Linked DNA regions of Arabidopsis thaliana. The protein of the gene in region 3 interacts with the protein of the main gene of each other region in a pairwise test. Each region holds a gene or a part of one and is shown on either strand. Other genes may lie near its edges.

The links.
Region 1: the proteins of AT3G62260 (region 3) and AT4G23050 interact in a two-hybrid assay, tested with the Arabidopsis thaliana proteins (one large-scale study listed by BioGRID).
Region 2: the proteins of AT3G62260 (region 3) and AT5G11550 interact in a two-hybrid assay, tested with the Arabidopsis thaliana proteins (one large-scale study listed by BioGRID).

What each region holds. Positions count from the first base shown.
Region 1 is NC_003075.7:12,078,155-12,084,757, forward strand, and holds AT4G23050 (PAS domain-containing protein tyrosine kinase family protein), read left to right. Parts: upstream 1-1,905; 5' UTR 1,906-1,957; coding exon 1,958-2,304; intron 2,305-2,495; coding exon 2,496-2,928; intron 2,929-3,037; coding exon 3,038-3,163; intron 3,164-3,266; coding exon 3,267-3,789; intron 3,790-3,916; coding exon 3,917-3,957; intron 3,958-4,046; coding exon 4,047-4,115; intron 4,116-4,207; coding exon 4,208-4,308; intron 4,309-4,433; coding exon 4,434-4,512; intron 4,513-4,603; coding exon 4,604-4,702; intron 4,703-4,788; coding exon 4,789-4,857; intron 4,858-4,953; coding exon 4,954-5,003; intron 5,004-5,109; coding exon 5,110-5,191; intron 5,192-5,267; coding exon 5,268-5,362; intron 5,363-5,457; coding exon 5,458-5,554; 3' UTR 5,555-6,102; downstream 6,103-6,603. Other genes in the region: AT4G23040 (Ubiquitin-like superfamily protein), read right to left, coding at 385-468.
Region 2 is NC_003076.8:3,707,460-3,711,141, reverse strand, and holds AT5G11550 (ARM repeat superfamily protein), read left to right. Parts: upstream 1-1,738; 5' UTR 1,739-1,994; coding exon 1,995-2,939; 3' UTR 2,940-3,181; downstream 3,182-3,682. Other genes in the region: AT5G11560 (catalytics), read left to right, coding at 1-85, 165-386, 467-562, 648-842, 923-1,036, 1,148-1,408.
Region 3 is NC_003074.8:23,037,737-23,042,513, reverse strand, and holds AT3G62260 (Protein phosphatase 2C family protein), read left to right. Parts: upstream 1-1,943; 5' UTR 1,944-2,122; coding exon 2,123-2,290; exon of another isoform or gene 2,291-2,668; coding exon 2,669-2,857; intron 2,858-2,930; coding exon 2,931-3,166; intron 3,167-3,436; coding exon 3,437-3,998; 3' UTR 3,999-4,224; downstream 4,225-4,777.

The DNA.
Region 1 (6,603 bases), on a different chromosome or scaffold from region 3:
CAAAAATCCAGACCAAAATCCAAAAAAGAACAAAACTTTTCACAACTAATTTCACAATGAGCAGGTATAAACTCGTTTAGATATCAATGAACAATTAACAAAACCAATAAGCATGAGAATTCTGTAAGAAGTCCACATAAAAACTCAATCAGATAATCGGATAAACTAAAATTCAACACAATTAACTCCAATTGCGACCTAAACGCATCAAGATGAGCTTAACAACGATATAACAAAAGCGTAGAGGAGATATAATTCGATGATCCAACGAACAACCACTTGAGCGATTCGAGAAACTTCCAAAAATACTTCAATCAAAAACAAAATAACATCTAAACAATAGAAGGAAGACGGAAAAAACCCAGGGAAGTGTAATTGAATCACCTCGAGCTTACGAACGGCGACGGCATTGGAAGAGCCGGTGATGGTCATGAAGGTGTCAATAGCTTCCTGAGTAGGTGTCGCCATTAGAAAAGAGAAAGCTTGAGAGAAGTTTTTCGTCGGAGATTTGTGTTTGGAGCTGGAGTGAAGGAGGAGGCAAGAATTAATATATGTTGTAAATCACAAAAATTGCAGTGAAGAAAGGAATTGGATCGGTGACTCTTAAGATTTTTAAAGCCTTTTTTAGGGTCTTTCTTCTTTTCCATTTTTTTTAATTCTCCTTTTTTATTTGGTGTGGATTTTCTTAAACTTTATTTTCTTTATTCTTTTTGTATATTTTCGGTGATATTCAAGATATTATTTTCAGAGAACTTGAGATAATATATGGAGTGTCCTAATCTGAATAACTAAATAAATAATTATTCAGTTGAAATTGGATTTTTTTTTTCAGAGTCTTTATATTTTATAAACTGGAATTCGAGTCAAATTCAGAGTGGATTAAACTTATCTTTTTAGTTTTTACTAGCCAAGAACTTTTTGACCTTTTTTTTTAACATGATATTAATTGTTATAGTGTATATACATTAAAAGTTAGATAATTTTTAATGTACAAAAAAAAAGTTACATAATTTATTTTTTTTCACACCAATTACATATTTTATTTGTCAATTTGACAGTAAATATGGAAATAAGCCTTAAAATGTAAAGGCTTTTCGGTCCAACAACGAAAAACCAAAACCAAACCCAAAACTAAAATATCCAAAGATATCCTCACTTTATGATCATCCCAATCTTCCCTCTATATAGTGCCTTTAAAGGAGCTGTCATGTTCTCTTTCGGCCGTTTGTAATATAAGAATTGTCGTTTTTGTCCAAAAAAAAGGGTTGGCTTTCAGTTTGTGTCCCAGAAACAAAGTAAATCTTTAGATAAATTGAAACAAAACTAGCTTTGTGACTCCAATTAAACTTTGCTTCCTCTAAGAAACCTTATGGAGAGTATTATTCTACAATGATTTGAAGTATACTACTAATAATTGATTACATTTAAATTCAACTATAATTTATTGTTATTGTTCTTCAATCAACTTGAACTTTGAGTTTATTGGGCACATTACTTTTAGAGGAATGTGAATGTGAACATTGAAGAGACGTGTATTTTATTTTCTTCTTGACAAATACCGTTGGAGGTATAAAAACACCATCAAACTCAGGCCCATTTGGCAATGGCGGCAACAAGAATGGGTATTATATTGAGGTTAATTTCGTCAATCACCACTTTTAAATCGTGACAAATTCGTCTATTATCTCTCAATCTTCTTCAACCTTCAATTACATCGGCAATTCTACAAGTGGCAGCATCCTATTAGTAACAAACACACGTGGCGTAAGCTAATGCGTCGTAGTGTTTATAATAGCTGGGGTTTGTTAATTATGGCGTCACGAGTGATTTAAGAAGCAGCTGAAAAATAATAAACAATGAGGGAATGCCAACGTTTTAAATTATATTTTTAATTTGTGAATTTTCATCAGAGTCGGATCTTGATGCGACTGCTCAAACAGAGTCACCGGCGATTACGATGGCCGGAAACAACTCGGAATCGAGTCTCTACCAGGTTTTGGTGGAGTGGTGTCAGAGGATGGAGACGAGTCAAGCGAGACTAAGGGAGGATGTTGATGACTTATTGCTTCAGGAGGAGAGTCGAACCGGTAAGGAATCGGCGACGGGATTGGAGACGGACACGGAGAAAGAGGCTGAGGTAGAGGTGGAAGCGGAGGCGGCGGATTCCTGGGATAATCCGACGGCGACTTGGGAGAGAGCTGTTTCAGGATTCTATTTCGCTGATAGTGCGTATCGGACTTTGATGGATTCAATGGGACACGCGATTCATGTAACATCAGCTGCGTCTGGAGAAATTACATTCTGGTGAGCTTGATAAGTTCTTCTTCTTCATCTATGGTGTTTGTAGATCAGGAGCTTATAGTTCTTCTAAGTACTGTTTCATTGAATTGTGTGTTTAAGTAGTTAAACAAAGTTATATATAGCGATTCATTGTATATGCAAGTGGACATTTACTATTTGTTTCTGAGTGGAGAGATTCTTTTATTATTATTCAGGAGTCGTTCTGCTGAGAATCTGTACCATTGGTATGCTGAGGAAGTTGTTGGCTACAGAACTATTGATGTGCTTGTAACCGAAGAATACCGTAATTCCCTTACTGGTATCAGGAATAGGGTGTGCCGTGGAGAGACTTGGACTGGTCAGTTTCCGTTTCAGAAGAAAACTGGTGAACTATTTATGGCTTTGGTGACTAAAAGCCCTGTGTATGAAAACGGTGAGCTGGTTGGTGTTGTTACTGTCTCGAGCGATGCAACCCTTTTCAATAGGATGCATCCACTAAGTAATGAGCATCAACAACAAGCTCGTAGTAATAATAGACATGAATCAAACTTGAGAAAACATCAGTGGCACCTCCCGAGGCCTCAGATCGCTGCAGCATCACAGGTTCCAGTTGTCCCACAATATTCATCAGCTGTTGCTTCAAACCTGGTAGATCTCACATCATGAATGTTCGAAGTTTCTCAGTACTTTTTTTTATATAATAATTCGTGTGCAACATGAATGATTGTTTGTTTTGCTGTTTTCTGCACAAACCAAGAAGGCGTCGAAGCTTCTACCACAGAGAAATGGAGATGATTCCTTCAATGGAAATCATAATTCGAGGAGCCGAGATGAAAATGTTCCGGTTGTTGCCTCCACAACTTTCGAGAAGTATGGCTCACTGGTAAGTCTTCGTTGGCTCCTTAAACAAGACACTTCTCATTGACATTTCTTAGAACGATTATTGTCTCATGTTATAAGCTAAATCTGCATATACACTAGTGTAGGCGGATAAGTTTTTGGGGAAGCTGCAAAGGAAGATTACTGGCAGCCAAGGAACCGAAGATAATGAGCCTATCTTAAGAAACGGTATCAATAAGTCAGCATGTGGCAGTGGAGGTAGTTCTAAGGCTTCTAATGCAGTTACCTGCACGGCTTTCAGAGACAATGGCAATGGAAAACCAAAAAGGGCTGAAGTTAGAATTTCAGATGTCTATGGAAATGGAGCTGAGGGTTTGATACATAATGGAGATCGCTTTCAGTATATTGGGAACCTGGGACAAAGTAAACCTCCCAGAGGACTAGAGAGTGGTTTGGTGTCTGGCATGCGGGGAACAAAAATGTCGGACCTAAATGGTGAGATAGAAGATGCTTGGAATACTCGTCTTAGTGTTGATCCCTTGCCAATTCTAGGAGTCAACAGCGGTAGGCAACAAAGTCCTGTCAACCAAAGGAATAATAGATTAGTTACTGATTCGTCATGTGAGATACGATGGGAAGATCTACAACTTGGGGAGGAGGTCGGAAGAGGTGTATTTCATTTACCAAAGTCTTACACTCGTTTTCACGTTTTAGATATGCAAATTCAATTCAGATCTGTGTCATTGCTGTTTAAATCAGATTACAAGTATTTCTGATGCGTTACATTTTCTCACAGGTTCATTTGCTGCGGTTCATCGTGGAGTTTGGAATGGATCGGTGAGTTTTCTGTAATTTAAGATAAAATAAGGATGATTCTAGTATTAGTTGCACATGGATAACTAACTAGTCCAATCTATTTGGACCAGGATGTTGCTATTAAGGTTTACTTCGATGGTGATTACAATGCGATGACTTTGACGGAGTGCAAAAAGGAGGTATGTATAATTAGTTCTCTCTGTTATGAATTGTTTCTAGAAGTTACTCGTACCAGACAAAATAAATCAGTTTTGATCAATAATATCTTCAGATCAACATTATGAAGAAACTGAGACATCCGAATGTGCTACTATTTATGGGAGCAGTATGTACAGAAGAAAAATCTGCCATAATCATGGAATATATGCCAAGGTGAGATTATTGACGTATGGATCTGGAAGTAGTGTTACTCCTTATCGAGTGTGTTATATTATGCTGCAAGAAATTGCAGATGAATACTCTGTGCTAAGTTATTTCTATACGGTTTTGATGATTAGAGGGAGTCTCTTCAAAATACTTCATAATACGAATCAGCCATTGGACAAGAAACGCCGTTTAAGAATGGCCCTTGATGTTGTAAGACTCTGATCTTCCAAAAACCTCCCTCACAATGAAAGAAAAAAATATGAAAGGCTGATTATATTCGGGTTCTCTGTTGTTGTTGCAGGCTAGGGGAATGAATTACTTACACCGCAGAAATCCGCCAATTGTACATAGAGACTTGAAATCTTCCAATCTACTCGTGGACAAGAACTGGAATGTCAAGGTACAAACAGTTTTCTCAAGTTACATTTATGAAGACTTGTAAAATGAGTTTACTATTGCATGGACTTTCAACTCTTTCTTCCCTAGGTTGGAGACTTTGGGTTATCAAAGTGGAAGAACGCAACCTTCTTGAGTACTAAATCCGGGAAAGGAACTGTAATGTTTAACAAAAGCCATTTCTGATTCTTTTAATCCACAAAACAGTCTTGGATTTCTGTTACTAAACATTGTTCAACTTTTTTCTATGTGCAGCCGCAGTGGATGGCTCCTGAAGTTCTCAGAAGTGAACCTTCGAATGAGAAGTACGTTGGATATAATATTAACCCTTTTTTGTTCTCTTTTCGAAGACATTATTCAATAACTTGAACATTTTTTTGGACTAAAAGCTCAATGCTTTCGTTGTAATAGGTGTGATGTGTTCAGCTTTGGAGTCATCTTATGGGAGCTAATGACTACGTTAGTACCATGGGACCGTTTGAACTCTATTCAGGTACCTCTCAAATTCTGTTCTTATGAGATTATAGCTTGATCATAAGATTGTAGTAATCTTAGCAACTTTAAATTAGGTTGTTGGAGTTGTTGGTTTCATGGATCGACGATTAGACTTACCTGAAGGATTAAATCCCCGGATCGCATCCATAATACAGGATTGTTGGCAAACGTAAGAAGACGCATCTGTAAATTGTTTCATCAAATACACCCTACAAACTTAGGGGCGATTTTTCTTATATTCTTTGTTCTAAATTGTTGAAACAGTGATCCAGCAAAACGACCGTCGTTCGAGGAATTAATTAGTCAGATGATGAGCCTGTTCCGCAAACCAGGGTCAGGTGCGCAAGAAGAAGACGATTGAGAAGGTAAACAGTACATGGTTAAAGGATAGTTCACAAAGCAAAGGACGTGAAAAGAAAACGAAAGCATCGTCCTGATCACTTACTATACAAATGTTTCATTGTGTTATACCAAACTACTATTTATGTTTTCATTGAAAGAAAGAAAGCAAAAATAGCTAAATCAAAGTAATATACAGTAGAATCTTAGGTTAGTTTAGTTAAACTATGCATTATATAAACTGTTGTCGGTTTATGAGCTAAGTTGTAAAATGGGATCTAAAAAGGCAGAGGCGCAGAGGCCAGAGGAGGACTCAGATGTAATTTAAGAAGTAAAAGGGTGAAAAAGAGAAATACGAGAAAAACTGTGAGATTGATGGTGTCTTGTAGTGAATTGTAATGTAGTTGGTTTTGGTTTGATGGGGTAAGAGAAGGAGGAGTGACAATTCGTAGGCATTGCTTCTTTTGCTTTAATATTCTCTTATTACAGCTTCCCATCACTGCGTCGTCTGTAGCTTCTCAGCACCTAATTATAAGAGAGAGTCAGAACCCTAAATAAAACTTTTTTTTCAATCCTTATTCGTAATTCCACATTACAGCATCTTGAAATTGACGCAGTCACAAAAGCATAATTAAAAAAAAAAGGATACAAAGATGGGTCTATTATACCGAGTATGTATTGTGCATGCATGTGACGTGGGTGAAGGGAACTTCTCTTATAGAAGTATTGAAAAAGGAGAAATTTTGGGGGATTGAAAATATTTGTCTGTTTGTCTGGTTAGGTCAGAACAAATCACATCGAGCTGCATAGTAATATTTCGTTTACAACACATGGTTGTGACCTCTAGACAAATAAACTTTTTAACAGTTTTCGCTGTTTTGCCTTGCATGTATTTCGTAGTATTTCAATTTATATGTAACTATATTTCAATTGAAACATCTTTACCATATTATTTTCTTTTTTGATGCCAATTTCTTTACCATGTGTTTGCTCTTGTGTTATTTATGTGTGATTGATTGATTGACCGTGTCGATTACCCAAGCGGAATCTTGTAAAGGGATACTCCGTCAC
Region 2 (3,682 bases), on a different chromosome or scaffold from region 3:
CTTTACAACCCGAGAACTTTGGACTGTTGTGTTTCCTTCGGAATCAGAGAAAATCATTTCAACACTAACACGAAAACCTAATGAGGTATAAGTCTTGATAATGTTTTTTTTATCACATAAATGTTTAAATTTTTTAATCATGGCTTACGATTTTTTATTTCCAGGTTGTTCATACACAAGCCAAAGTCAACACAGACCAAGACCTATTGTATAAATATGTATCAAGAAACTTACTGTTTGTGGCCACCGTTTCACCAAAAGGTGCTGGTGAGATTGGCTCAGTTACGCCAGAGGAGTCATCACTCGTAGTATACCTCATTGACACCATCACAGGACGGATACTGCACCGTTTGTCACATCAAGGCTGTCAAGGGCCGGTTCATGCGGTAAGTCCTCATGCAATTTCATCTCATTTCTTTTTGTCACAGATTCAATGCAACTTTCTTAGGCTTCAAATTGTTTTCAGGTGTTTAGTGAAAATTGGGTTGTTTACCACTATTTCAATCTTCGAGCTCACAAGTACGAGGTTACGGTCGTTGAGATCTATGATCAGTCGAGGGCGGTATGACTTCATAGTTCATACTCAAAAATATTTTTTCAGTTGATTTGATGTTCCCACTGTGAATCATTATAAATTTTATTTGCAGGAGAACAAAAATGTGTGGAAACTCATTCTGGGAAAGCACAATCTAACAGCACCCATCACTTCGTACTCTAGGCCAGAGGTGTTTACAAAGTCACAGTCATACTTCTTTGCTCAGTCTGTGAAAACCATTGCGGTGACATCCACAGCAAAGGGTATAACTTCAAAGCAGCTTCTCATTGGTACCATCGGGGATCAGGTTTGTACATATCTTCTCATATAGAGATACCTATATAGATTGAATAACTGATACTCAAAACTGTTTTTATGAATGATTAGATATTGGCACTTGATAAACGATTTGTGGATCCACGCCGGACACTTAACCCGTCTCAAGCTGAAAAAGAAGAAGGAATCATCCCTCTCACTGATACATTACCCATCATTCCTCAGGTTCATTCAAACCCATTTTCCTTATATTTGTTACAACTGAGCAATCCCTGGTTTTGGTTACAGTTAGATTAAGTGATGTATAGTTTCTAACGCACTTGTCAAATTCCACAGGCGTATGTTACACACTCCCACAAAGTAGAAGGTCTAAGAGGCATAGTAACAGCTCCGTCCAAGCTAGAGTCAACAACACACGTCTTTGCCTATGGAGTGGATCTCTTCTACACAAGGCTTGCTCCTTCAAAGACCTACGACTCACTAACCGACGATTTCAGCTACGCTCTTCTCCTGATCACGATTGTAGCACTTGTTGCAGCCATCTACATCACATGGGTCCTTTCAGAGAAGAAAGAACTAAGCGAAAAATGGAGGTGATTGGAACCGTAAGGTTTAAAATCCTTCCTCTCTTTGGGCTTTTTCACATTGTAGAATGTTTATGAACCATTTTTCGCACTCTTAGAAGAAAAAACCATTGTCTTAGCTAAATTCTTGATGTTAGGCTTTGGAAATCGAGTACACTTTACAGACTCTTGCTTTGTGACCTTTGTCACATTCTAGAGTTGAGCTGCACCTTCTGAATTTAAAGTTTATAGAAGCCTCTGTTTAACCTTTTCATTTTTGTAAACAGCAATAAATTCCATGTTTTAAGACCCAAATCAGCCTGCATTTTATCGTCTTCAGATAATGATTGATCCAAAAAAACAAAGATGTCGCCATTATACTTAAACCCTCGTCCAAATCGTAAATTCGTATGTTTGGGGACCATCCCACACACAAACATGTGATTATAATAAATATTATTTAATGGTTTAATGCGAGCAATAATCTTAGGGAGAACACAAGTGTAACGCCTGACAAATTTGGTTCGAATCAATTATTTTCTTCCTATTTAAAACAGAGACGCTTCCCTTCACTTCACTCCACTTCACTTGAAAGTCCCACACAGTCTCCCTAGTGAGCGATGATGAAAGCAAACCAGAAACCGAAACCCCACGCGCCACCGCGTCCTCTCTTCTCCTGTGGCTTCTTCCGCCGCTGCACACAATCCGTCCTCAGCCCAACCTCTCCTCACCAGCAGCAACCTCGCCGTAAAGCCACCACCACTTCCTCCTCATCTTCCTCCTCCTCAACCTCAACTTCCCAAAGCTTCACTCAATGGCGCTTTCCTCATCATCTTGATCAAACTCCATCCACCGCTCCTCCTCCTCCTCATCCACCTCCTCCACCACCGCCTCTTCCGGTCACCACCACTCTCCAAGAAACCTTCCAGATCGCAGAGCTTCACCTCACATCCGTCTCTGAATCCGACAAGCTCCTCGCTCTACAGCTACTCGAGCGGGTAGTCGTACCTGACCCGCCATCTGATCCGACTTGTCCACCGGGTCTCATGCGAGGTCTCGTCTCTTGCCTTCGTAGCAACAACAAGATCGTAACGGCAAAATACGTCACCAAGATCCTACTCGCTCTCTGCCTCGCCGAAGGAAACCGCCACGTGGCGGTCGAGGCTGGAGCCGCACGAGCGGTGGTGGAAACAGCGGCAGGACTAGAGATCTCAGCGGTGGAGCGAGCCTTAGCTGCTCTTGAGCTAATGTGTACAACGGCAGAAGGAGCGGCGGAGGTTCGCGCTCACGCGATGACGGTGCCGGCGATGGTAGCGGTGATGGCGAGATTGGCTGGTAGAGGGAGAGAATACGCCATAAGCATCCTTTCCGTGGTCTACGGGAAAGGCGGCGAAGGAGGGGATTCCGGCGAGGAAATCGCGGTGGCGCCGGCGGAAGAAGTGGCTCGGGCGGTGGCGTTGGCGCTGGAAGGAGAGTGTACGGCGAGAGGAAAAAGAAAAGGGGCCCAACTATTGAAGACACTAGAGGAATATGGACGGTTGGATCTGAGTCAGAATGGGACCTGAGAAATGAAATCTAACGGTTGCAATTATGTCAGATGAAAAATAATAAATCTGAAAGCTAGTTTTATTTTGGGGTCACGGGCTTGTTGTTCTTTTGTTAAAGATGTGTGGGCCTTCGTCTCTGTCTCCCCTATCTTTGTATATATTACATTATAATCCCTTTTAATTATTAATGTCAAAAATTATTAGGTTTTTACAGTGGAACAAATTTCCACATTTTTTACCCTGGAAAGACGTATTTGACTGTTAGCAACGAACTGAGCTATAAATTTTAACGATACAAGATGGTATACCGTATACCTAAGCAGGAAACCATTTTTTATTGGATGATTTTACGATGAGAACTCATGAGGTAACCATATATGCAGTACTCCTAGTGTCCTATGTACCTAGTCTCTCAAGCATGAAACATCGCCGGGTAGAGATTTAAGCTAAGTAACCAGATTATATGGTATAATGAAGTTTCATACGATTGGTTTTGAGTTGAATTTTATAGGTTTTTGATTAATTGAAAACTGATTGTCAAGGACTAGATTAATTTCGATTTTTGTGTAGAATTCTAATGTCTCCTCGAAGAAAGACTCTTATCATTTAATCTCGATATCTCACTCAAACCTATATTAAACTTATTTAGATAAAATAATTAAGCTTCATGAATTTCCAATTCAGAATCATTTCAAAATTATTTGCAATAAGTTGACTTCGACATGCATATTATGTTTAGTTCCTTCAAACTCCCAAAATGA
Region 3 (4,777 bases):
GAGGCTTGATAAAACCGGAGGAGATTATGTTTAAAATTAGTTAATTAATTGATGTTGTATCTTATGCATTCTTGAGTTTTTTTTTTCTTTTTACCTATGTTTAAAATTATGTTTGCATTTCTGTTCTTGATTTAGAATCATTGTAAAATCTCTCTAAATACCATGTCAAATGTCGGTAAAACATTATACTATGTAATAATAAAGCCATGAAACATCAGCTTATAATATAGACGTTCACGATAAAAGAAAGTTCGAGAGAAAAAATCTAACGGAAACATGAAAATAAAGAACAACAAGAAAAGTTAGTGGCTTTTGCCTTTTGGTTATGTGGTTGTCTTAAACTGTGTTTGTTGCGTCTCGATTTTTATTGTCGGATCAGAGATTAGATTAAGACATTCTCATTGACCATTTTTCCACGCGTAGGTACAGTAACTTAACCTGATTAAAACCATTCTAGTTTGACTAATATAATGTTTTAAAGATCCTTCGCAGAATTTAAATACAAAAAAGGGCTAAAAGTTGCACCTTTTTCTTATTAATATTATAGTCGAAATCTTAAGGCCAACTATTCCCTTAAAATCCAACAAGGAAGAAAACCTTACTGAATCCAATGGGCTTAATACTTTCAGACAGTTTAAAGATTTATGGCTTTCCTCGAAATTATGATCCATTAAATGCGTGTCTCCTCATTGATGATCATCAGCAAATCGTGTGTCATATTATATTAACCCTAATCATAATATATTAATACTATAACACCAGCAACATTATGCTGAGTCATACATATATATGCTAATAAGTACTAGTAGTTGTTAATTTTTATTGGTAAGATACCATAACACTAGTTTTATATTAGACTTTACACGAACAAGTTTCAAAATTTTAGCAACGCATTAGATCTTGAGCATCTTGGTTTCGTCTAAAGAAACATTATTTAGTTGAATGTCTTACATAGTAAGACAAATATTTTTGGGTAATATATAAAAAATGTGATAATTTTTAACTTTTAAATTAGTATTTAGGTTAAATTAGATCATACATTCTTAATATGATAACAAAGTGTATTACCGCCTTAATAGACAGTTTTTTTATAAAGAATGGTTTTGCACCTACTCTATACAAATAACATGTCTTATTATATTTTCGAAATGTTAAACTTACTCATATTGCTTAGGACAAAATTTTTAAGTAATAAATAAAACGTGTGGTAATTCTTAAATTTGGATTACTATGTCAGTTTAGATATTTTAATTAATTTTTCCAATAGTCAAATTGAGAAGGAAAAAACAACCACATAAAATAATAAATTAGGTAATGGCTTTGGATCATAGAGAGCACTTAACTTGTTGATCTACGCAATGTGTAAAGCTTGATACCACTAAACTATTATTCGTGACAAAAATTAAAAAGAAAGAAAAGACTGCTGACCTGGCATGACAGATAGTTAAACCTTGGGAGGCAAGTTCATCCTGGTGATTTTAACGGTCCAGATTCATCTAGATGCAACGCCATTGTGTGATTAAAGATCGTCACTTGCAGGTGTGTACACGGACAAACCTTTAGAGATTCTGGTCGAGAAAGTTCTGTACTTCCTAAAGTACCCCTAAACATTTAATCCTATTACAGAAATATCCCCGTTATTTCCAAAGAAAGTCCTCGGAAGTTGGTAAAAGTTTAAAAAGGAGTGGTTCAGAATCCGACGTCGTTCGAGGGTACGCGCGTCAAAGCTCGAATGACACGTGTCATAATTAGGGCTTAGTCTTAGCCGTGTGTAATCCACAAACTAAACAGAGATCATAATCTACATAAGCAACCGACTCGCCACAGATGATGGCCACGTGTCAACTGAATTTTACCGGTTACCCAGTCACCCATAATCGAGTCTTTTTCTTCTTATATATAATCAGAGAGAAAAAGCCCACGCGGCTCAGAAATTTCGTCCACGAGAGGAATAAATTCACACGCGAACTTCGATAGTTGTTAATTTTCGTTGAACACAAGTGACGAATTTGAGAGAGAAAAAAAAAGAAAATCAGAGATAAAGAATTTGAGTTTCTTGGAATTAAAGGATCGATTTTGTTGAAGTGAAATTGAAATTGATTGTGAAAAGAGAAAGAGACTGATGGTAGCAGAAGCAGAGGTTGTGTTTCAACAGAGTTTACCGGCGGTTCTGGAGATTGAGTTGTTTGACGGAGTTTCCTCCGCCGTTAAATCTCCCGTTTCTTCTCCGAAATTGGGTTTTACTCAGTCAACGGCGTCGGTTTCCGGAAGTTTAACGACTTCTCCTGTGGTAAGTCTTGTTTAAAGTTTACATTTTTATTTTCTGGGTGAGAATTTAAGAAGCTGGGTTCTGAAACGTAATTAGAAATTCGACTGAATTATTGGTTTTAGTCTATTAGGAATCATCAAATAAGATGACTTTATTGTAAATATTTTGCAAACATATCCTTGGATCTCTTAGGCTTAGAGGACCTCTAGTTCATGTGTGTTTGCGTGTCGTAGCAAATATAGATGCTTGTTGTCTATAACTTTGCCTTAATGAAGCAACTTTAAAGCTGTTGGAGAAGCCCTTTGTAGTTATTGTGTGTTGTTAACTGTCTTGTCTTCACTGCTTGTGTTTTATTTGTTGCTATACTCAATTGAGCATCCGTGTATACCTTTTATTTAGCAGGCTGATATCTTTCCAGAGGGTGATTGCGATCCTAGTGTCTTGGATTATATTCCGACCATCCGGTCTGGAAGCTTTGCTGATATTGGGCCAAAGAGAAACATGGAAGATGAACACATTCGCATAGACGATTTATCTTCTCAAGTTGGTTCCCTTTTTGAGTTGCCGAAGCCTAGTGCTTTCTATGCGGTATGTATCGTTGCTTCCTTATAATCTGATGCTCTTTTAAGTATACATTCTGACTTGACTTTCCTCTGCTTAGGTTTTTGACGGGCATGGAGGACCAGAAGCAGCAGCATACGTACGGGAAAATGCCATTAGGTTTTTCTTTGAAGATGAGCAGTTTCCACAGACATCGGAAGTGAGTAGTGTTTATGTGGAAGAAGTTGAGACTTCATTGAGAAATGCGTTTCTTCAAGCTGATCTAGCTTTGGCAGAGGATTGCAGTATCAGCGATTCTTGTGGTACCACCGCTCTGACTGCTCTTATTTGTGGAAGGTACGTGTTTCATTCAGTTTTGTTTAGTTCTCAATCTATCTTTAGAATCTTAAGAGATCTCTTGCGCATATACGAAGATGTGCACAAAGGTAAATAAATCTATTGTTAGGATCTTAAGAGAGCTCTTACATATACTAGATTGTAAGTATATAACCTGTGACATGAGCAATATTGGCTATGGTTTTATACTTTTGGTTACTCTTTCTGTTGTTGTCTTTGGGGTTTAACTGTGATTTTCTCATGGGATACTTATGTTCTTGTCTTTTGCAGACTCTTAATGGTTGCAAATGCCGGAGACTGCAGAGCGGTTCTATGCAGGAAAGGCAGAGCGATAGACATGTCTGAAGACCATAAACCGATTAATCTACTTGAGAGAAGAAGAGTGGAGGAATCCGGCGGTTTCATCACTAATGACGGTTACCTAAATGAAGTCCTAGCTGTAACCCGAGCTCTGGGCGACTGGGATTTAAAACTGCCACACGGCTCTCAATCTCCACTGATCTCGGAACCAGAAATCAAGCAGATAACTCTAACTGAAGACGATGAGTTTCTTGTGATTGGGTGCGATGGGATTTGGGATGTCTTGACGAGCCAAGAAGCGGTTAGCATTGTTAGGCGTGGCTTAAACCGGCACAACGATCCAACAAGATGTGCGCGAGAGCTAGTGATGGAGGCTCTGGGGCGGAACTCATTTGATAATTTAACTGCGGTGGTGGTATGTTTCATGACAATGGACAGAGGGGACAAGCCGGTGGTGCCATTGGAGAAGAGAAGGTGTTTTAGTCTTTCGCCTGAAGCTTTCTGTAGCTTGAGGAATCTGTTGGATGGCTGAAACTAGTGTGTTTTCTGGTGAAAACCGATGATTATATAATTGATGATGACGAATAATCTCTCCCACGGCTGCTTTTGTATTTAGAGATTTTACGCAGCTGAGAGAACTCTTTTGAGATATACTTGTGTATTAAGTGTGTTTGTTGTGTGCACAGTATGCGATTACAGTTTTGTGTACATACATACTGTTAGTTGTCTATGAATAACGAAAAAGAAAAGATTAAGTGATCGCCACTTTGTCAAGATAAAATTGCATCTTTATTTTTTTGATCAAGATAAAACTCCATTCAACACGACCATTTAAAACTAGGAATGTATCATCATTTCGAGACTAACTTTCGTTCTTCGCTTAATAAGATTTACAAATTCATGCAGCAGAAACTATTTTTGAACAACTTCAGTTTAAAGATAAATCAAACTTATTCAAAAATCATTAGCAACACGTTTAGAAACCAAAAAGACAAGGCTACTACTACGCATGAGAGCAGCCTTAAGAATCAAAGCGTAGAAACTAATCACTCATCACAAAACTAAAATCCTAGATCGAATATTATTCGAGAATTAATCACTTGACTAAAAAGAATACAAGACAAATCATAAATTCCGCTACGTTGCCATTGCAAATCATCTATAAATCTGCAAACAAATGATTTGAAATGCTCTCACAACTACGTTATAGGATGATTCAAGAAGTAGCAACCAATGAATATCAAAGTATAGAACGAACAACATAATGAATATCCATAAAATCCTAAAACCTTCCATAATTTATAATCCAGA